2 linked regions of the Arabidopsis thaliana genome follow. The protein of the gene in region 1 interacts with the protein of each later gene in a biochemical or structural test. Each region holds a gene or a part of one and is shown on either strand. Other genes may lie near its edges.

The links.
Region 2: the proteins of AT1G05020 (region 1) and alpha-ADR form a complex in vitro, tested with the Arabidopsis thaliana proteins (one study listed by BioGRID).

The regions. Positions count from the first base shown.
Region 1 is NC_003070.9:1,433,881-1,445,680, forward strand, and holds AT1G05020 (ENTH/ANTH/VHS superfamily protein), read right to left. Parts: upstream 3,884-11,800; 5' UTR 3,466-3,883; coding exon 1,504-3,465; 3' UTR 1,275-1,503; downstream 1-1,274. Other genes in the region: AT1G05030 (Major facilitator superfamily protein), read right to left, coding at 4,444-4,635, 4,716-4,830, 4,931-5,019, 5,105-5,178, 5,278-5,424, 5,622-5,778, 5,855-5,948, 6,018-6,130 and 4 more; AT1G05035 (uncharacterized protein), read left to right, coding at 11,103-11,344, 11,745-11,789. UniProt on the Arabidopsis thaliana protein: Adaptins are components of the adapter complexes which link clathrin to receptors in coated vesicles. Clathrin-associated protein complexes are believed to interact with the cytoplasmic tails of membrane proteins, leading to their selection and concentration.
Region 2 is NC_003076.8:7,582,959-7,594,920, forward strand, and holds the start of alpha-ADR (alpha-adaptin), read right to left. Parts: upstream 5,365-11,962; 5' UTR 5,069-5,364; coding exon 4,943-5,068; intron 4,201-4,942; coding exon 4,069-4,200; intron 3,718-4,068; coding exon 3,592-3,717; intron 3,379-3,591; coding exon 3,316-3,378; intron 3,234-3,315; coding exon 3,136-3,233; intron 3,056-3,135; coding exon 2,848-3,055; intron 2,650-2,847; coding exon 2,578-2,649; intron 2,498-2,577; coding exon 2,405-2,497; intron 2,017-2,404; coding exon 1,915-2,016; intron 1,816-1,914; coding exon 1,718-1,815; intron 1,172-1,717; coding exon 1,090-1,171; intron 957-1,089; coding exon 868-956; intron 726-867; coding exon 620-725; intron 537-619; coding exon 471-536; intron 446-470; exon of another isoform or gene 97-445; intron 1-96. Other genes in the region: AT5G22785 (uncharacterized protein), read left to right, coding at 6,685-6,747, 6,758-6,886; AT5G22780 (Adaptor protein complex AP-2, alpha subunit), read right to left, coding at 7,142-7,298, 7,385-7,464, 7,580-7,651, 7,738-7,818, 8,038-8,163, 8,251-8,337, 8,442-8,606, 8,710-8,790 and 11 more. UniProt on the Arabidopsis thaliana protein: Subunit of the adaptor protein complex 2 (AP-2). Adaptor protein complexes function in protein transport via transport vesicles in different membrane traffic pathways.

The sequences.
Region 1 (11,800 bases):
CTTTCAAATTCTTATAAGGATTTAAAAGCAAATGCAATGGAAAAAAAAAAAAAAAACATTCATTGCCTTACTTCCTTTCTATTTGGAGAAAGGTGGATCACCTTTTTTTTGTTTTTGTCTTTGATCAACATTCATACTTTGTTATAGAAAAACTGATATTTGATAATAGTAAGACATGCTTAACTTTATTTTCCACTTCCTCAGTCACAAACAAATCTCACGTCATTATTATGGAGCCTCAAAAAGTATAATATCACAGACGGGTTTTGGCAACTAATGTATTGATTTGAAATTTCTTAATATTTGCTATTTTATGGGACTATTTTAAAGTTGATCAATAAGCAAAACAAATAAAGAAACGTGTTTTATTTCATGTTGACTAACATTTTGACTCGAAAGCGAAACTTATGATAGAAAAATAGGCTTAGCAGCCGGTGTTATATTCAATCATGTATGACTTGTAAGCAAATTTTTACTAAATTACAAAACAACAACTTGAGAAGTCAAGAAGTTAAATCAACTTGTAATGAGAAACCTAAGAAAGGTGGAATCCTAAATTCACATATACAGAAGCTTTTACCACTGTCAAAGACGAAAACGACTCTAGTCAATGGCCAATGGGGGATAAAATTTGTGGTGTATAACTATTAAAAGAATTAATATTTGTGGTGGGCTATATACTAGAAAGAGATGTGTTATGATGATTTTGGTTTGGTAGATCTTTCTCCCTCGTGGCCTTGGGGTCAAGCTACAGCTTTGGTCAATCTCATGTTATCGACACCACAAAGCCAACTTGACCTACTAGTGGACCTCCTTAATTTATTCCATTTGGCTTCCCTCTTCGTTATCTTCCACCGATATACATTCATTTTATCATTCGCATTATCACGGATGCATATCATAACACATAAATACATGCATATCGGAAAATAAAATGCAAAAAATTGTTTGCCAGATATACGCATCTAATACGCATATCGGATACATTCATCTAATACACACACATTAGATGCATGCATCTGTTGTGTGATTATGTGAAAACTTGTTATATTAATATAGACTAAAAATGAATACATAAATATTTTCAAAAATACATAAACTAAATGCTACATAACATCATCACGATGATCAAAATGCTAGCTAAATTTCAATTCCCAAAAACTTCAAAGAAAATAACATATTCAAAAGTAAATCCCAAAGTGTACCGTGTACGTAAATGTATTCAGAAGGTGAACTTAGATATTTGAGTGTTATTCGTTGAGATATACTTGAAAATCAAATTCTCAATGTGATTATGATACAAGACACACAAAATACATCGTGTATACACAGGAATGCAAGTACGAAGATAGAATCCGCGGAAATATCTTTTTAATCAAAGAATTTCTGAATTTCACATTTCTCTAAGTTATGGAAAAATGAGTTAAGAGTTAAGTTGACAATGTAACAAAAGAAAAACTCAAAGAAACATCTCAACCTCTGTCTAGCCAAATAAATTTTGTATCAACTCAAGTGCTTGGCTATGATCTTTTTCTGGTTCTGCAACCATATCTGCTGTTCTTGCAATACAGATTGCTGATTTACCCCTCCATTTTCTGAAAATGTCTCTCCGAACCCAAAACTCTCAAATGTTGTAAACGGGTCACATTTCATAGGCAAAGTCTCCGTGGCCTTAAATGTTGGTGTAGAAGACGGCTCAAAATCATCAGGAACGTTCACCTGAAATGTCGGTTCTGGCTGAAACCCTGTCAAAGCCAAGCCACCGAACGTGATCATTGGTTCTCCGGCTGTAGCTAACTGCGCAACTGGTTCTTCCAAGAATGGGTTGTATTGGTCCGTGGCGGCTTGAAACGCAGGCATCGGATCATCTAACCCGAACGGTACTATCGCCATCGAGTTATTACCCTGCACCTGCGTAGCAGTTTCTTCTAACGCAAGCAACCAATTCCCTGAATCTCTCTGATGGTCCTCAGCGGTTGAAGGTTCCTCCTCAATCGTTTCTATCTTCTTCTTCGGATCATCTCTCAACATCAACGCCTCCCAAGGATCGAAAGTCTCTGCCTTTGAATCGTCTTGCTTCTTCTTGTCTTCAACATCTTCTGCTTCTGCCGTGTTACTTACGTCATCCAATGACAATAGGTCTAATATGAGATTGGAAGCAGAAACAGAGGGATTATTGGGAAGCGATTTAGTCGAAACCGTATCAAAATTATTCCCATTAGGATCATCTCGTCCTCCTCCGTATGGCTCAGAATGACAAGACATTGGAGGACTACTAGTCCCTGCTTCAGTCCTGCTCATCAAATCCTCCAACGAAGTACTACGAAACGACCCGTAATCTGAATACCTCTCCGACGTATCAATCGTGGAATCCCCAAAATCAAGCGAGCTTGAAACCGCTGAATCTTTGGACGATGGAGGCGGAGGAAGAAAACTATTCGGTGACGGATACAACCCTGAGCTCGCTGGAAACGACGATTGATCTTTTAAAAACTCTTGCAATGTCTCAAGAAGCTCTAAAGAGATCTTTTGAATGCTAGGATACTCCGATGTTCTTCCTATACCGATCGATTTGGAAAGATCGTAGAATGCGTTAAGCTCTTCGAACTGTTTCGAAGCTCGAACACAAGCTTGAAACGCATTGATGCAAGATTGGTATTGCAGATGGAAGAAACTGTCTAACAAAAGCGCTAATCCATCGGAAATGTCTCTGTAAAGATCAAAACTCTCTTGCATGACGGCGTAAAGCGACATTTTCACGAGCCTGTTGGCTTTCGCGTCTCCCGTCGGCCGCGTCGCGATTGCTCTGTCTAGTAATTTTTGCCAATACGTGATTTTGTCAAGAAGCATTACCGGTTTCATATCTCGAACCGCCGGTTCGTGGGATTTAATTCCGGCTTTGGGATTAAACCGGGATCTTGTTGTTGAGTTGGTGCTGATTCTTCCGGTTTGTTCTCGGTTTGTGTACCGTCTCTGTAATTTTCCGGTGAGGAAGCAATCGAGACGTTCGTCGAGGTAAAGCGCGAATGTACGGACGAAAGCAGTGAAATCCCAAGGGCACGAGTTCGAATCGTCGCGGAAGCTGGAGAGATTGAGGATTTTGGCGCCACGTTTCATGGCGTGGAGGACTTCGCGAGGGAAATAAGGATCACCGTCTTGGAAAATCCTGAGGACGAGGACTAGGGATTTGAGCGCGACGATCCAATTCCGTGTACGCCCGATACGGCGACCGATCGCGGCGGCGCAAGAGGCGGCGTGAGATTTCTTGGAGGATATGATTCCGAGGATTTCTGTTACGAGTCGATCGTCGATTGGGACTTCCTCGTCGTGGCTCGTAGCTTTCAAGATCGCAACTTCGAGAGTCGTGAGATCGCCGCCTCCGGTGGCTCCGTTAGCAACTTTGGCGAGGCTAATGCTTGTCTGATCTTTAACCGCACCAATCGCTTTTTTAAGCTTGCTCGGCATTGTCCTCGTCGTCGCGCTTTTAATTTCACCCAAACGTCTTCTTTGTTCCTCAAGGGGTTTTAATTTCTTAATCACTCTGGATTAGCGATTAATCACGAAGAATTAAAACCAAATTAGAAGATTTTCCTCTAAATTTTTTTCCTCTCTCTAAGGATTTTTTTTTCAATTTTTGTTCTTCTAAATATAGAGAGGAAGGCAGAATAAAATGGCTGGAGAGTCTCGAGACCCTTTCAAGATATAGCGTTGACTAATAGAGAGACTTCACACGCGATTTTGGCGCGTTAAATATATAATTGTGTTTAAATTCTTCTTCTTGTTAGAAGAAAAAGCATGATGCATAGAATTGTGTTCAAATTTCGAAAACTTATTATAATACAAATATCTTGTCAGTGTATTTATGTTACAAATTTTTTGATCGGCTAAAAGTAACATTCTCTCACAATTCCTTAAGAGTTGTTTCTACGAGCCTCATATTCGTATAGGTTATAAATTCAATGACAAGCTGTGTACGCTTTTTTTTTTCAGAGAACCAGCTAGCATCTTTATATTCAATATTCTTGGGATAAATTTAATATTATCAGAAATCTTTATCTTTGTTTGCAGACGTGCAAACCAGTATTATATATGAATATGAATATATAGAGATCATGAGTTATGGACTCACGATTTTCACCATGACATGGTAAGCATGTATAGTCTAGATCGAGACAATGTTACTACATTAAGCTATAAATCAAGAACGTCTTACCACTTGTAAATAGGCACAAACCTTTCATAAGTATGTATTTTGTGTAATCCTTGTCAACTTTCTTTCGCATTTTTTATAAATCTTTTCTTACATACCTAAGTATATCTATATACTCACAAGATTTCTCACAAGCTAATTTCCAGGCTATTTACATTTTACAACAACTGATGAAAAACTGATAAAAATTTTGAGGTCTTTCTCTCTTTCTTTCACTTATACCGTTTTTTTTTTTAACTCAGGTCGTCTCTGGAGTTCAAAGACAGTTCGATCTCTTCTAGTGATCGACCCTTTGTTTCCACCGTGAAGAGGTGTGAGAATGCCGCTGCCAACAATGATACTGAGCCAAAGCTGGCATAGACCGTTCCAACCCCGTATTTCTCCACCAGATCCAGGAAGAACAAACCAACCAAGAAGTTGGAGACCTGAAGAACATTTGCTTCGTCATTCTTCAAACTTCAAAAGGTTATAAAATGATTTATGGGAAAACTAAAAAAACACATACCCAATGTACAGAGAAGCTGAAACCCATGATTTTTCCACGCGTTCTGTTGCTGCTTAGCTCAGGGATGATGAGACCTGTTACAGGACCAGCTCCAATTGCAAAACTGAATATATACCTGTAACAGGACCAAACATATGATACGTTTCTGTCTTTTTTTGGGTACTATATGAGCTGAGAAAAGGAGACTAGTAATTGCTGGACTTCAAGCTACTTACATGAGTGTTCCAAGTATTGACAAACTCTGGCTCAGATCTTCATCCAAGGGGAAACCAACAGCATAAACAATAAGAAACATAGAGACTGCCTGTGACACCAAATCAATTCAATCAAAATAAGCTAAAGCAGTGAAAAGCAAAAGAGTTTATGTGATAAAAGAAAAAGATATTTACCATTCCCAAGTAGCTACCGATAAGAAGCTTCTTTCTTCCTTGCTTATCAATCAAATAAGACGCACACAGAGCACCTATTAGACCCAACAGTTCAGAAAAGGGACATTGTGATGGAAACAGTAGAAAAAAACAATCATCTAAATTTAAAGTTGATATAGGTGAGACTTGAGAACCTGCAAAATTTGTGACTCCAACATATAGACTTGCTTGAGCACCACTCGTGATTCCAACATTTTGGAATGTTAAAGATGAGAAATAAAGAACGCCATTTATGCCCGCGAATTGCTGTAGGACAAAAAGGGAGCCCCCAATGAATGCAACTGCAACCATTATATCAACAAGACATACAATTTAGCTACATAGATTTTTCATGTATGAAGTTATATATTCTCAGTTTCTTAGATCAAAGTCCTGGAAAAGGTTATTCTTAAACTTGAATGTTTTCAGTTTCTGATTTATGGTATAATATAACACCCTTAGAAGTTAGAACTAACATTAAAAGCAACCTTAACATGACCTCGTGAATGTGGTTTATCAAGGAGTTCCAGCCATCTGCTATTTAAGTTGGAGCCACTATTCTTCATAACCGACTGAAAATCTTCTACAGCTTTCTCGACTTCAGATCCTCCCCAGATGTTTCTTATCACTACTTTGGCATCATCAAGTCGTCCAACCTAAACAAGTATCATGAGACACGATTTCAACATGGAAAATCAATGCTTCCTCATGATTAAAAGAGGCGACTTATACCTTACAGAGCCAACGGGGACTTTCTACTGCAAATTGCATACCAAGTGCAAGAAGAAAACCAGGCATACTCGCTACATAGAGCATTGTCCTCCACCTGAACAGTAGTATACATGAGGAGAATGAAGTGAAGAGTGAAATGTATAGATAGCTAAATGAAGCTCACCAATGAGGGTCATCTTCTGCAGGAATCCCTAAGAGAAGAGAAAAGATTATCCCGAGACAAGTGCCAATTTGACATAAAGTTCCAAGGGAACCTCTGTATTTCGTCGGAGCAACCTATAGAATAAAAATGGTTGGCTTAATATCAGAAGTAACAAGACTCTTCAGCCGAACATATGAAATGCAAAATATGCTAAGCAAAAGAATGCTAAACCACAACTTATTGTACTGAGAGTCTGAGAGTACATAGGATCAATTTTAAGAAATGTCCTAGATCTTACAGCAGAAGAAGCCAAATAGTTAAAACATGAAGTTGAAAAGGAATCACATATTAGATTACCTCGGATATATATATTGGAACAAGAACTGTGTTGACGCCAATACCAAGACCAACAAGAAATCTTCCACATAAGATCTCATCCAAGGAGTGAGCTTGTGCACTGAGAGAAAAAGTAAAATTTAGTTATGCTGCTACCTCACAACTTAAAACATCATCATGGAATTGTTACTAACATAACGAAATCAAGATTCACCTTAGTAACAAGATATTACCTCACAAGGGCACCAAGAATGAGGGGTATCGTGAAAATCTGAAAGGTGCGTCGGTAGCCAAACTTGTCAACTAGTGGACCGGCGACTATGCTACCAATAAATGCACCGGCAATAAATATGCTCACAACAAGACCCTCAAGAATAGAATTGCCTTCAAACCCAAGTTCACGCGCAATAGACACGATGGGGCCATTCATCACTCTGCAAGAACAAACTGATAGTATTATAAGTACTAAGCTTTCGAAAAACTAATCCAGATCAACCTGACTAACTCATATTCTTCTCACTGGAAGCTAACAAATTGTCAAGACGGGGACAAATCAACACTCTGTAAAAACAATCTAATCAACATCTTTGTAAGCTCAAATTGAAGCTGTTTCTCACCAGCAATGTCAAAATGAAACTTTTTTTCGAATTCTGTAACACAACCAAGCATTAACACTACTACACGAACAGAGATTAATCTTCTGGTATAGAAATCAAACTAGGCCAGTGAAACAAACAACAACGACTGTTACTTCACAAATTTGGCAACAGTGAATTGGCTATATTATTACCCAATGTGATAACCAAAGAGAAAATTGGCCATAGAAGCAACTGATACATGAGGAAAAGCCGATAACCATCCCAAATCAGCGGAGAATTTCTCCGGCGGAACTGGCGATATCTCGTGATCGTCATCTGTTAAAATTTTGAATAAAGTTAGAATATTTCAAACAGATAAACATTGGCAAAGAGATTGGTAAGTCAATGGAGGTGAGAAAGCTGAACCTGGTTTCTTCGTCGACAATGTCGTAACCCGCTTCTTCCTCTTTGAAGACCGAAAGAAACGGGAAAAGGAAGAGGCTTTACGAGAGTGGGCGAGTCGGGTCGGGTAAGAAAAGGTTAATCGGTTCATAGAATTGGGTCGATATAGAAGTACGGTATTCGTCACCCACATGATCGGAGAGCTAGACTAGACGGAAGAGAGAGAAATACGTCGGCGAAGCGAAAATAATAAAATTTGAGGCGACGGAAAATAATAAACTTGTAAGCACGTGACACTCACGTGCTCAAATACTGAGTGATTTCCTTTTTAGGAATGTGACAAGTTTAGGCACTTTTAGAAAATTTTATTCCATTTGAGGCACTTTGCAGAGATGAGGCATTTTTTCAACTTTTTCATCGAATTTATGACAAATTTGCCCCTAAAAGTGAAAACGAAAATACTTTAGCGTTTGGAAGTTGGTATATGATGAGTGGGTCGTTGGATGGAAGTTGTAACTATTATCAGATTATATATATAATTTAATTACTCAAAAAAGTATAATGAATATTCTTTCTCTATTTGTACTTTTTTTCTTCGTCTTCTTCATCGTCTACTTCTTTTTTCTTCATCGACTCTTCTTTTCTTTCTTTATCTATCTCTTTCTTCATCTTTCAGTCTTTCCTTGCAAAATCAAACATGAGAGACTTTGTCAAAATCGTGTAGCTTCTATATTTCCCTTTACAGAGAAGCCTCTCTAGATTTAAGTGACGATTAGGCTTATTCGATTGGTTTCGGAGCGGCAGCGCTTGTGACTAACGACGGAAGCTTGAGTGTATCAGACAATAACATCTAGAGGTGAAAGAAGAAAATTTTTGTTCCCTCAATCTTACAACCAATCGATCCAGGTTTTGCGATGATTCTTCAATTCTACGAATAGAATTTAGAGTTTTGTTAGATTGTGTAAATATCTGATTCATATTAGCGAAATTGTGCTTGTGAAGACGATGAGATCGGTTGCAGATCGAAAGTTCCTCTTTCCTTACTCTCCTTTGTTTCAGATCTGTAGCAAGAAGGCGACGAGAGAGGCGGTGATAACGTAACGTGGGACGTTACTCGACTTACTTAATTTGGATTTTGAAATTCCACCTGAGAATTTGAACTCTCTCCCGAAAAAGAAGAAGAAATGGCAGCGTACATGGAAGAGATTCCGTGAGAACAAAAATTGTTCGGAGTAACCTCGATATTACGGGGTTACGGAGAAGCGAGGTCCTCGTTACTCTGTTCTATTCCATGGAGCACCAGATTAGCAAATTCCAGTATTGAATTTCATATCCATATGATCAGCTTGTTTGGTACCATTTGATTCTAGTTTGATAAATTGATGTCTCGTTGAACCTCTAAGCTAAGAGCACTTTACTTCGCACATGAGAATACATCATTTCCACATGGTCACATCTTGTTGGACAAGTTTTCATGGACACAAACTATCAAAGCATCCAACACGATTTCATTATGTATAAACTAATAATCCTATAGGTCTCCAAGCCCCAAGAACAATATGTAGACATTGCTTTCAAATAGCAACACTCAAAATCCAATTAGTTAATGATAGTTTGTATCCATTATAACTTGTCCAATTAAACTTTAACATGTGGAGTAATGGTGAAACATGACAAACACTTGAACACAAATGATTCATATGTAGAGCGTTCATCAATTTTTTATCGAATGAAAAAGAGTGTCATGATGATGCAAGAATCACAACTTAGTCAAAACAAATCATGCGTCTTTTTCTTATTCAACAGAGTATCCACAATAACAATACATTACTTACACAAAAGAACGAGACCCATCAAACATGCTTTCATATAAAGACAAAACCATACCAACTAAAACCCAAAATCTTATTAACATGCTTTCTTTCACGTATTCTTTTCTCTGCATTTGTTATTCTTACAGATCCATAATAATGTGTCCATTTCAAATGTGTTCATACGGAATCTTGTTTACTAAGCATATCCATTATACACCAAAGTTAATGTTTATCCATTTGTTCGATGCTAGGTGGATACACAGTCATGTTTTACACTATATCCATTTGGTCGATGTTACATGGATACATCTCTACTTCTTAATATCATATATGAACACGTACTTGCGGACTGTCAGCTATAGGAATCCGTCCATTACTCTTTGAATATATGTTCTCCAACTAATGAAGTGTTCTTGTATTTGATTTTGGTGAACAATGTTTAGATTTGGTGTTACTCATCTTTCGTGTATCTGTTTGTGCAGCTAAGACATTTCAATCTAAGAGATGTAAAATATAGAATCATTCATATGGTGATATTCTTATGATTATATTCAAAAATGGTTCATACAAGTGTGTAAACCCTCTACCCTTAACGGTTTGCACTAAATCCTAATTTACTTACCCTAAAATTAAACTCAAACCCTCAACCCATGATCTTTCTCCACTAAATCTGAAACCGTAAAAACAAACACTAAACTCATACAAAAAATGGTAATTTTACCGACCAATAAAACATATTTAAAGCAAATCAAAGACACAGGTGTCCATTGATGACTGTCCAAGCGGTCTAGTCCATGTGGTCATCTAATGACTTACGGGGTTGTTTCATTTCAATACACAAGTTTATACATGAACAATAATCACCAATTCAAACGCCAATTCAAAGTACATCATCGTTCATTTTTCTTTGACCATTATTCCACAAATGCAAATCCGACAACAAAACAAGAGAAACAATCTCAAAGACGTTACAGGCATCGAGGACGAGTCCTCACCGAAAGTAAACAAATATGAGATTCGCAGCTAATGACCCAGAACAGAAGATGAAATCGGATAAAATTATTTGGGCATGCACTTACCTGCATTGTTGAGCCGTCACGCATAATCGAAGAAGATGGTGGAAGTAATGGAAGAAGGATTGATCATTGTCAGTCGTAAGAGAGTAGTACGAGGAAATTGAAACGGTATTGGGAGGAGAAATCGATGTGTATTGACATTGAGAAGTGAGAAAGCAACAATTACGAAGATGCCAATGGATTATTTGAAAGCGAAATCGCCAAAGAGAAGCATGAACCATCTATTAGAAAAGGGAAACAAACAGAAATTGTAAAGTCGTCGTGAGGGATTGGGTGAGAAAGAGAGGTTTCTTACAAATTGATTTTCGTATAGAAATTAAAATTAGAGAATTAAACCGAAATTGGTTTGAGGGTAAAATGGACAATTTTTATATTAGAAGTGCCTTGTATTTTGAAAGTGTCGTATCTCGGAAATTGTTTGAGAAAAGTGTCTTAGAGTGTAATATTCTCTTCCTTTTTTTGCGTTCTCAGAATTTCCTTTTTATTTTATTTTTAAAATTCTTTATCAAAGTTAAATTTCCTTTTTTCCGGTGATAACCGTCGTTATAAATACTATACTAATCTCATCTTAAGGATCAAAGTTCTCAACCTCCGAAGAGCAAAACCCTAAAGTGCTATTTCTTCTTCTTCTGCTTTTAAAAACTTGAGTTTCTTCTTGAGCAAGTTATATCGAAGAGCCGTTATGAATCTCATTCTCGCTTTGAGAATTATTCGGTGAGTTCGTTCGTTCGTATCTCTTCTGCGGGTCTGATTTTATTTTTCTCCGACCAAGTTTTAGTCGATCATTAGAGATGGCAAGGAGGTGTTTAAAGGTGAATCTGGGATTATAAGAGATTCAACGTTACGGTGATGAAGTTGTGGCCGGAATTTGAAAGAACATGACCTGAAATTTACAACGAGATGGAGGAATTTTCTTCGTCGGAGATTATTTATGATGATGTCATACAACGGTTATTTTGTGATGATGTCACACAACGGCTATTTTGGATGATGTCATACAAGGGCTATTTTGGAATTTGCTTTGAGTATAGAGAACAAAGGACTACGGTGAAGATTCGTGAGATTACTGAGAGAAGACGACTTGGAGAGGTATCAGATCAGGAAAAGAGTCCACGTTACATCAAATTCCAATACGATTTCAGGTGAGTTTCCTTATTACGTTTTTAAATTTTCACTTCTTATTTTTAGACAAGTTTTTTTTTTTTTTTTTTTTTTAATTTTCTACTAGATTTACAAAACGATATGAAAACTAACCGGATTTTGGATCCCGTCACTTGATTTAGTCATTGATCGTTAGCGATTTCACAAGTTCAACTTGTTTTCAGATCGTTATTTGAATTTAGCACTTTAGTTTTTTAGTCTTTTTTTTTGTTTTGTTTTAGACTAGATTTACAAAACGATAGGAAAACTAACCGGACTTTGAATCCTGTCACTTGACTTAGTCATTGATCGTTAGCGATTTCACAAGTTCAACTTGTTTTCAGATCGTTATGTGAATTTAGCACTTTAGTGTTTTAGTCTTTTTTTTTTGTTTTGTTTTAGACTAGATTTACAAAACGATAGAAAACTAACTGGACTTTGGATCCTGTCACTTGACT
Region 2 (11,962 bases), on another chromosome or scaffold:
TTCCGAAAGAAATTATAAGCATTGTTAATTTGTATTTTGCAAAGAATTTAGATACAGATAAGATTTTGTCAGCATGTGTAGCAAGGTAGTAACTCTAAATTCCCAAATTAAGCAACAACAACTTAAGGAAGGATTGTTTTAGTTTTATATGTTAACTCTGGTTGTTAATTTTATCACATGGCTGATACTCTGATTTTGAACAAGGCTTCCGAAGCAACGACTCGTTTCTATTTGTGGATTTGCTGAGTAGTGAGAAGGGTAAGATGCTGACTGGAGAAGCTGCTTTTTCAAACCTAAGTTACTTGAGAGAGAGACCAATGATCTGACTTTAGGAAGCCTTGCTCAAAATAATAGAATCAGCCAAGTGATAAAATTTACCACCACAGTTAACCTGTAAAACAAAAACAAACCTTCCTTAAGGTGTTATCTGCAATATAAGGAATTTGTTATGGGAAGCGAGAATGTACAACCTTCACCATAGTCTCATGTATTGCGATTTTGTCCAAATATTCTCTTGCTTTTGACGCGGCGTAAGGCTGTCAGGTCAAAGAAATATGTAAGCAACTTTGAATGTCATAAATAGGATAAACAATATATTTTTCCTAACAATTATATAAACCTGCAGGTCTTCATTATTTGTTACAAACTGAACCACACGAAACCATATGTCATCGCTAACAAAATCCCCAGCCTTGTCGATCAACTGAAGGATCACATCAACATACCTGAAAACATCAAAATTAACATCTTTAACCAGTTGATTTGCAAGGATCTAAAGGTCACACCAAATGGATAATGCATGTTACTGTAACCAAATTTGTGTGCATGAATGAAGTGTACATATACTTCGTATCGAGTTATCCTCACCATGATAGATCAGGAGCAAACTTCTCAGCAAGGATAGCAGCTTTAAGTGATAATTCTTCCCGCATGGAAAACTCTGCTGTGCTAAGATACTGCAATATATTTTTAGCTTCCATGTAAGCTTAAACACTACACAACTTAATCCTTCCTTTCTGTTAAACTTCACAAATCATAAGGAGACTAAAAATCAAGAAATATTAATATAAAGTAAGGTCAAAGACTTACCTGCAGCAACTCTTCGACTATATCCTTTGCATTTGACACATCACACATCCCATATAATAAATCAAGAGCACGCCTACGAATACTGCAGGAAAGTTCAACCAATAGTGAATCTGACACCATAAGCAAAAGAACCAAGAGATGATAAATCAAACTATATGTTTGTAAAACGGAAGCCACCATTTGCAATGGAAATAAGATCAAGACATAATGGACTGTGGTACTTATCCATCTTTTACTAACAAACGTCATCGAAATAGTGCTGACCCACCGGCCAATAATATAATAATATAATATTTCTTATGTGACCGTATACCACATATAATTATACCTATAGCTTATCACAAGAAAACAAATCAACAAATAATGTTTCACTAAAAAATATAGATCCCATTTTCTTAAAATTTCATATATACTACCCAAATCAAATAATTTTAATGCTGACAGAAATAATCTTATTCACAACTACTATAGAGACAAAGTAAAAAACGGTATATTAAATCATAAGAAGTAAGACCGATTTGATGATTGAAAAACTGTCGTACTGGTTCCAAATTAGAACAGTAACGAGATACTGATCCGGGTTCACAAGCCAGAAAAGCTGATGCTTAGATGGCAAATCTAAACCAACCTGATGTCAGGGTCTTTCAAGGAGGTGATTATCTGAGACTGATGCTTCTTTATGATATCTTGAACATCTGTGACCATCAGCATCCGCGTCATATTTTCCTGTAATTTTGTCAAAAAATGCATCATGAGAAACCACCAACCACTTCACAAACTACTCCAGCTAGGCTTAGATGCAGGAAGTGGTATGCAAGATCTCACCAAGCCTAGATATCTGATGTTGGGCTCACGGACAGAAATAAACTTGCCAAGAAGAGCAACACACTGTGACATCATTTCCTTCTCAGCATCAAGATGCATGACCTATATCAAAACACATTAAAAAGTTAGGAGGTTGCACACTAAGCCAGAGAACTGTTAGGAACAATTAAGTCAACTATCCATGATAAACCTCTTAGAAATAGTGGCGAAACCTTCAAGCAGAGCATCTAAATTTATTTTACTTTCACACAAGAAAAACAACAGACAAAGAATATCGTACAATTAGCTGCAAGCAATTCAAACACTTGAAGTTTCTCTAGCAAAGCCAAAAAATATATTTTAAACGTCCATGCACACATCAGTAGTCTGCTTTGAGTAAATGCGTCTTTACAGGACGTTGAGCAGGGGTGAAGGGGAAGAGAGAGAAAAATAGGTGCCCACTAGTAAAATTCATGGTATCAACATTTCCCCAGCTATCCGACGAACTTACCAGGGATAGAGCTTCAAACAGCACAGCATGAGACGCATTGTTTTTATTCACATTTTTCACAACATCTGTCCCCATCAATATTCGCTGAAGGACCTGAAATTTCCATGAAATGCCATGCCATGAGAGGAAATTCAAAGACATATATTACAGATTTACACATGAAAATATTGAACCTCAAACAGAGCTTTTCTGGTACTGGGATCTTCAATGGTCGGGAAATATTGAAGAGCCCTCATTGCCTTAACCTGTACTAACCAAAGATATATAAGTATCCACGATATCTTTAACTGAGTAACAAAAATACACCAAAGCTGGGCCAAGCCTCTATTTTCATAAGCTAATTTCACATAAAATGTTTAAAATGCACAGGATTTGTGAAAAGGATGCGATTAAAGAATATTTAAGCTATTAAACAAGAGTGAATAAGCCGAGTTAAGTCAAACCTGGAGCCAAGGAGATGGGATGCCATAGTATGTGTACTCCTGAGGAACATCTTGGTTCCTAGCAAGGCGTTCTAATATTTTGACACATTTAGGTAGACAACTTGAGTACGCCTCATGATTATTAGATACCAGAGCTACAAGAAGACTCGTAGAAGACGTCAAGACACCAAGATCTCGTTCATCCAAAAGTTGTGCCATACGATCCGCCCTGGAAGTATACGACAAAGAGAATATGAAAGATGCACTAGTAAAATCAAAGAACCAGTAACCCCACAGTGTTATACACACCAGCCATCCACGTTGACAGCATCAGGATTTTTTCGGAATAAGCGCAGTAGGCACAGTGCTGCTTTTTTCCTTACAAGAGGTCTGCAACTACTAGAAATCTGCAGCAAAGAGACCCCATAACATAATATGTTTAGTAATATTGGAAAAAAATATAACCTCTCATCTTTAGGAGTCACTTACAAGTAGCTTTTGAACATCAGGTGCCAATGATTCAGCAAAATCCCTTCCACCGATATTTCCAACCTACAGGAGAACGTAAGCATGGCAAGGTAAGAAAGCTAGAAAGAAAGGACCAGTTTCATGAAGTAAGTGGCTCTGAATCGTGAAATGATAGAGCACAAAAGACATAATGTACCAAAGACTTCCATTAAAACAGTCATTTAACAACATCTTATAATCAGAAGAACCTAACTATGCTCTAAAATCTCAATACAGGGTGGACAAAAGACCACATACCAAGGTCAGTGCTAGGCACTGGAAAGTCTCATTCCGACCAATAATATCGTTCCGCACTGTATTTATTGCCAACTTCAAAAAGTCATGGTTCTCATTGAGCAAGCAAGATGTAACAATGTAGCCAACCTGTAATCATGGATGAAAAGTTCAATACCTGCAAATTAGTTAAGGAGCATGAAACAATATAAATTGGAAATACAAACCCTTGAGATACAATGCATGGTTCTGGTTAAGAGTTTCTAAGATGTTACTAAGTAACTCGTGCTTATAAGTAATTGTCTGCAATACTTTCCCAGGTCAAGTCAAGTTGCAAACGCATGAAATGGTATCTAGATCTAACTGTGTGATCTTCAATGAAACTTTCTTTGTTTCAGCTTGATCAATAGAATATATTTCAGCAAACACCTCCATCTATTATCTTCTCCTAGCCTTACAAAGAAAAATTTCTTTGTTTGAGCAAACAAAACGTTGGTTTACCTGCTTTTCTGGATACTTTGGCGCAGATATAAGAGAAACCGCCTCCATATGGCCAAAATCCACATCGTAGCCTAGCATATGTATATAAAGCATTTTCCAGACATATTTCTTCTTTTTATATGGTGTCAAAACCTGCAAAAATAAAACAGAATGTCAAGTAATCAAAGAGTTCTTGATTAATTCATTTCTAACATGAACCCCGAAAAAGAATAAGTTTAATGTTGGTCCAACTGGAAACACATGGATCCACTACAGGCCTGCTACAGCTCTGCTACGTGTAAGATGGAACAAGAATTTCACTCCAGAAGTTCTTACAGCAACAAAGCTTAATCTACTTCGTAATGAGCTATTCAAAATTTTCCGTGACCATGATTTAATTTCTTAGACCATCACTACATAACCGAATTTACTGCCAGACCATTCTTTTCTTCTAGTTCCTAAATGTCATCATATATTCAGTAATGAAATTCCAAGTTGAAAGCAATAGTAGTGATGTTTCAAAAGGTAGAATAATTGCTAATCTACAAGGATTTGAGCTAGCTATACAACGGCAACATTATACTGCCTATCTATTTTCACAATTGGTGTTAAATCAAAATTTATTGCCTCAATCCGATAAAGTAAGAAACTACAAGCTCCAAAACTATCCACTCGGCATGTGACCAGTGACTGTATCTTTGTTTCATCTACATTCTTATCTAACTCCCTAATCAACCTAATAGCTCTAACATTCGATTGCATTGGCATTGCAACTGCGAAGGATAAATCTCCAATATCTCTAATAAACCAAAACCTCAGCGGATACTCGACACTGAATTACCTCTCTAATGAGAATCAAAACATAGAAAATAGAATGGAGAGAATTGAGAGTAACCTTCTCATTCTTGAAGCATGTACGAATGTTTCCGAGCTCCTTATCAACTCGTAGTCTCTCCGCTTCCTTGTTCTGGCAATTACGAACGTCGCTGATAAATACGGAGAGACCTCTCATTCCGGTCATGGTTGAACCAAATCCTCAAATCCACCGTGCTCCGCCGCCTCACACGGCGCAGATCCAAACTCGCGGCACCGGATCTAACTACGAGATAAACCACAGACTAAAGCTGAAGCATAAGCAATTCGAGAGAGGTGAGATCGAAATCCCAATCTAGAAACGGAAAATGGCACCTTCAATCGAAGAAATTCAAAAGGAGAGACTGATCTTTGGAGAAGAGAGACACGCCTGCGGGAGAGAGACGAGAGACGACTTTTATTTTTCTTTATTTACAACTTTGACTATTCAATTTTGTGTAATTCAGTTTTTGTCTGTTTTGAAATTGGAATCCGAAATTGACCCGTCGAAAAACAGAATTAACGCGTCTAGACATTTGGACTAAATTTGAGGATTTATAAGTTTGCGTAATATTTTGTTAAAAAGTGTATCCTTCTGCCTTTTTGGGTAATATTTATTTACTGCTGTTTCTGGTTTCACTTTTTCATTTATTTTTAAAATGACTGTTTTCTGTCGCGGTCAATGCATTCAGTTGTAATTCAATGTACCATGAGAAAATCCTTAACAAAAAAAATGTACCATGAGAAAATCCGGTTATGAATTCGGGTCAGGTCAGGTCATGCAATGGTTTAGCTGGTCCCAACTTTTTTTTTTTTTTTTTCGTCAGACATGGTATTTGTTGGTATTAGTGGGAACGAAACAAATGGTTTATACGCAGTGCTGATTTGATTATTTTTTGTTATGAGCATTTTATAATTTTACTCAATGTATTATGAAATCTTTTGAATAAAGATTTTAGATACTCTATATTTCAGATAACAATTTTGCTAGAATCATTGCAACCAAATTACTCTGGTGAATAGGAAAGTATTGTCACTACTCTCGTTTTTGAAATACTAAATGTGTCTCATAACAAGATCATAATCTACAAGACGATGAATAGGACGAATTGTTGAGCTAGAAAAGCAGTGACGGCGATAGCGTATGCTCCTAGGATGTTGTTGTTTGGCAGTTTGAGTATCGAACTCGTAAACTTATATAACTAATGGAAGCACCAACCATTAAACTACAAGGCTTTTATATGATTGTGATGATAAAGCATCAGCTTGCTGGGCTTTAGATTTGGGTCGGCCCTGCTTATTGAACATTTTTAGTTTTATGGAAGATATTGTCCCTTTGCGTTAGCAACATCGGCTGATTTCTTAGGTATTTCGAACAGCTCCAATATCTCGGTTGAGTTTTTCTTCAAGGCATGACAAATTTTAGGGTATTCGATACTTTAAGAGAAGTTGCTTCTTCAACTTGAGCGACATTGATGTTGGTGAAGCAAACTTGCAAAAGTCAGACTTACTCAAATTTTGCTTAATCACTCTTGTTTCACAAGCCCCGGATCTAGGGTTCTTATATTTTTTTTTATTTGCAAAATTACAAATGATATAGTAATATAAAAAAATCATACTTTTGTCAATTACAAATTATGTAGTAAAAACAAAAAAAAATCATGCAAAAATTGATAAAACAGCTTTTAAATCCATAAGCAGTTTGTAAGAAAATTAAAAATAGTAAAAAAAAAATTTTCTTTCAATTATATTCTTCAAAGTAATAGTAAAAATCTGGTTGTATATATGTCGGTTGAATGTCCCACCAAGGCCAAGTCCCCACTCTATTCACACCTCAAATTAGATCAGGTTTTTACAGGTGAAATGCTATGCGTTGGATGTGTTTTTGCAATTTCCCCCCTTTATGACAACATTAAAATCTCTCAATGTGAAGGCTGGTGCGAAAAAACAGACCTCCCATCAGAAAACTCATGGAGAAACAGATTGAAAATATATAGGCACAAGAACAAGCTGATACAACCACTGACCTCACAATACAAATGTTCAGAATGAATGCAAAATTTCTTACCTAACGCAACCCGCCCGCTTTGGATAAACGGCACAAATATAATCAAAACTAGCTTTTTTCTCTCCCTTGGCTCTACATTTACTCTCCCATCATTCCATATTTTCGCCATTACATTCTACAATAACAGAAAACAAACTTTTCGACATGTGCAAGTAATCTTTTATCCCAATGAATTTAAAGTAAGCCAGCAAGCATAGCTCCTGGATCATCAGCTAAAGCCGCTGGGCTAGGCGGTTGAACTGCTGGTGATGGTGCTGGACCTGCTGCTGGAACTAGAGCTCGAGATCCCATTGGAATAGTAATTAATTGTTCCTTGATGAATTCTTTTAACCTGTAGATAAAAGGGGTCAACAATTGCAAATGAAGAAAATCTGTGATCGAGGTTGGGTTTGTGATTAAGAGGCAGATATATCATACTCAAATGTAAGGGTAGGATCTCCCGAGCCTACTGTCAATCGTAGTTGGGTTCTGTCCGCTGGGTCTGTTTCAATTCTTGCCTGAAAATCGCAAACCAAGGAAAATGTCACACGTCATTACTATAAGTCTTAAGAAATTTTAGAAATTGGAGTGGCAAGTGCCAAAACCAGGAAGTGAAACTTGGTGAAATCTCACCAAACAGAGCATGGCTCCTGTAGTTTCAGAGTAGAAGGTTGTGCTTGCCACTAGATTATTAGGGTTTGGATCCTACGACAAAAAACAATACAAGTTAAGTTTGAAGTATACATGTGTGCATGAGGAATGAAGGTTTGAGATCGTAAACAACTACTTACAAGCCCAGGGCATATCGTCACATGAAAACTGTTGAACAGATTTGCCATTTCCGGAAGAGCTAGAGGTCTTACACCTCTTACCTGAAAGAGATTGCAGTATCAGATTATATAACGCATAAAAGTAATGCTGCATTAACGAGCATGTGTAGAAGTGTTGGAAGTTCTCTATAAGTGTTGTAGCGAAAGCTAATTCACTAATTTCATTGAAAAGAAAATTCTTAGAAGCCTTTGACTACTATCCTGCGCTACTCAAATACTTTTAGTTTGATATTTGATCAGAGAAGCTGTGGAGATACATACCACTTCCTGAAGTTTCAAGGGTGGCCCTGAGATTGCTCTCCATTGAGGGAAGAACTCTTCAGATGTCAATTGTAGAGGTTGAAGAAACTTATTCAAGGTTGCCGGGATGCGTAATTTGGCACTGACCTATAAAAGATCCAGCATATCAGGTAGAGTCACAGATACTAAATATACCATTCACCAAAACAAGCTAAGTACTGTTGCAGTACGTACCACGTTTGTACCAAACTTGTAGGAGAAATCCAAAACTGCAACATCCCTACTAGGGCGGATGTTCATCACTTCAAGCGGAGATTGTACCTATAACCATGAAAAAAATTGCAACACTTAGTACATTATGCATAAATGAGTAGAAAATGACGGATTGAGTAGTCAAACTTAAATAAATCAACAAACAAAAGTACCTGTGCTCGAGGAGGAATTGTATCAGGTACTGGAGACAGATCCAGTCTTAAGTGGGCAGGGGGTAGTATCAGAGCTTGAACTGATGTAAGTGGAGAAGTATTCTTGTTTCCCATGAAGAGAACAAGTCTCCCATGGTGTCCTCTCCATTCAGCTTTGATGCCAATCTGAGGAATACAAACAATCAACAAAATGGGAACATAAGAAAGCTCGGAGGCTTGTCTGCTGCATACTTGAATAAATAAAAGCAGAAACTAGAAAAAAACAAACCTGGATATGAGGATCCTCGTATAAGACACCACTGTCTTTCAAACATAAAGCATGAAATCTCTCAGCAATATTTCCGATAAGCTGTATAAGAAAACAAAACAGTATAAGAAAAAAATACAAGCATGCAAATATATTATGGAGTACAAAAATGGCTCGGTTTCTTTTATTATGGATCTTGAATTGTGAAACAGAACATCTCAGGTAGCATTCCACCTAAGTAAACGTTACATACCATTTCCAAGTAATAAATACAAAAAGACGAAACAGAAAAAAATATGGCTATAGTTAAAAAAAAAACTAGGGAAATAATGAGCTAGCAAAAGTAGAAGTATAATGCTAACACCTACTATGCCAAAGAAAGCAAAGGAATAAGAAAAGATTACCTCCACTGTATTTGTTTGCTCTTCAACAGGTACAATGGCGGAACCATCAATTTCATCTGGAACTCCTTCTGCCCCTACGGGACCATGTTGTTCATATGAGACAGCTCCAGGTGGAGCCTCTATTGCAAGAGGACCGAGTAGGTCACTAAGGAGATCAGGTGATGGAGTTTGTGGATCTATATTACTTAAAGTTCCATTGGGATGTGAGAGAGATCGAGCCACTGACTCAGGGTCCTGCTAGACATGCAATGAAAAACAGACTGTCAGAGATAATAAGATAGAAGTATGTAGTATATAAAGGCAAGCACATCAAAAATGTTTTGTCAATTGGGGCCTAGAAAGAGAAGTACTCACCGTGCTTCCACTTAAAATTGGAACCTTCAAAGGTGGTGGTGCCCCATTAACAGGCTGTGGGTCAGCCAAAACAATAGCATTTGAAGGCTGTTGTTGTGCTCTAAGTTTGATGGCACTCTGGTCTGCGGTATCTTCAACGTTTTCTGCCTTTTTAATCAATGAAGACTATGGAAGAGACACGGAAAAAAAATCCAGCATCAAAGTCGTTTAGCACAAACTTCCCGTCAAAGTAACTTTCATAGAATCATAAAATAATTTCACAAACCTGGCGCTCCGGAAATTTTGGCATCTCAGCCAATACATCCATAAAGGCAGGCCCTTTTTTACTCAATTCAAAATATTCAACTGCCCTCTGTTGTATCTCCACATCGATACAACTCTCATATCTGCGAAAACAAAACTCATTTAGGAAACTTCATTTGGTTACCAAAAAAGACAGTACATATGATGACAAGCAAAACATTGAGGAAGGACAACAAAGTTAGCAAGTCTCACTTCTTAAATACAGCCCAAACTTTTTTTTGCAGTTCTGGATCCGGGGGTTGAGCGTGCATAAGAAGCTTTGCATATGTAGAAAGAAGAATAGGAATGGTGGGAGTCCTGAGAAAAAAAACGAAAAAAAGCAATTAAGACATACCCAAAGACAAGAAGAGCGCAATTCAACATTTGTGTTGTCCTTACGATACTGTAGGAAGCTTCTCATGTAAGATGCTAAAGAGTTCACTTGCACTGCATCCAGGTTGTCTAGCTAAAAGGTGACCATACTCCCCCAAAATATAAGCACTGACCTGAAATTCCGAAAGAAATTATATTTATTGTTGATACTAAGCACTGTTAATATTGTACTTTGCCAACAATATGGATAAATCAGAATGTGTAGCAAGGTAGTAACTCCACTTCCACAATTTAATTATATTATAATTAAAAGAAAATTTGTTATGGGAAGCGAGACTGTACAACCTTCACCATGGTCTCATGGATTGCAATTTTGTCCATATATTCTCTTGCTTTTGATGCCGCATAAGGCTGTCGGATCAAAGAAATTTGTAAGCAACTTTTGAATGTCATAAATAGGATAAACAATATATTTATCCTAACAATTTTAAGAACCTGCAGGTCTTCATTATTTGTTACAAACTGAACCACACGAAACCAAATGTCATCGCTAACAAAATCCCCAGCCTTGTCGATCAACTGAAGGATCACATCTACATACCTGAGAACATCAAAATTAACATCTTTGACCAATTGCTTGTGTAAGGATCTAAAGGGCACAGCACATGTCTCTATAGTGTGCATGAAAAAATGTACATATACTTCTTGTCGAGTTCTCTTTACCATGAAAGATCAGGAGCAAACTTCTCAGCAAGAATAGCAGCTTTAAGTGATAATTCCTCCCGCATAGAAAATTCTGCTGTGCTAAGATACTGCAATGTATTTTTGGGTTCCATGTAAGCTTAAACACTACCAACTTAATCCTTCCTTTCTGTTAAACTTCACAAATCATGAGGGAAGGTCAAAGACTTACCTGCAACAACTCTTCAACTATATCCTTTGCATTTGACACATCGCACATCCCATATAGCAAATCAAGAGCGCGTCTACGAATACTGCACGAAAGTTCAACCAATAGTGAAACTGATACCATTAGCAAAAGAACCAAGAGAATATAACTATAAATCAAACTATATGATTGTGTGAAACAGAAGCCACCATTGGCAACGGAAAAAGGATTGACACCTAATGGACTAGTACACATCCAATCTATTCATCTTTTTCTGACAAACGTCATAGAAATAGTACTGACCCACCAGCAATAATATAATAGTTCTTATGTGACCCGTGTCCGTTTACAAATTGCAACCACAGATAAGTATACCTATAATTGTTTATCACAAGAAACAAATCAACAAATTATGTTTCACTAACAAACATGTATATATACAGATTCCATTTTCTTAGAGTTTCATATATACAACCCATATCAAATAATTTCAATGCTGACTGAAAGGATCTTCAATTCACAACTACTCTAGAGACAAAGTATTGAATTATAAGAGCTAAGACAAATTTCAAGATTAAAAAAATTGTCATACTGGTTCCAAATTAGAGCAGTAAAGAGATACTGATCAGGGTTCACAAGCCAGAAAGCTGATGCTGAGATAGCAAATCTAAACCAACCTGATGTCAGGGTCTTTCAACGAGGTGATTATCTGAGACTGATGCTTCTTTATGATATCTTGAACATCTGTGACCATCAGCATTCGCGTCATATTTTCCTGCAATGTTGTCAACAAGCATCATGAGAAGCCACATAATGCACTACCAAATACTTAACAAATTACTGTTCTAGCTAAGCTTAGATGCAGGAAGTGGGTATGCAAGATCTCACCAAGCCTAGATATCTGATGTTGGGCTCACGGACAGAAATAAACTTGCCAAGAAGAGCAACACACTGTGACATCATTTCCTTCTCAGCATCAAGATGCATGACCTATATCAAAACACATTAACAA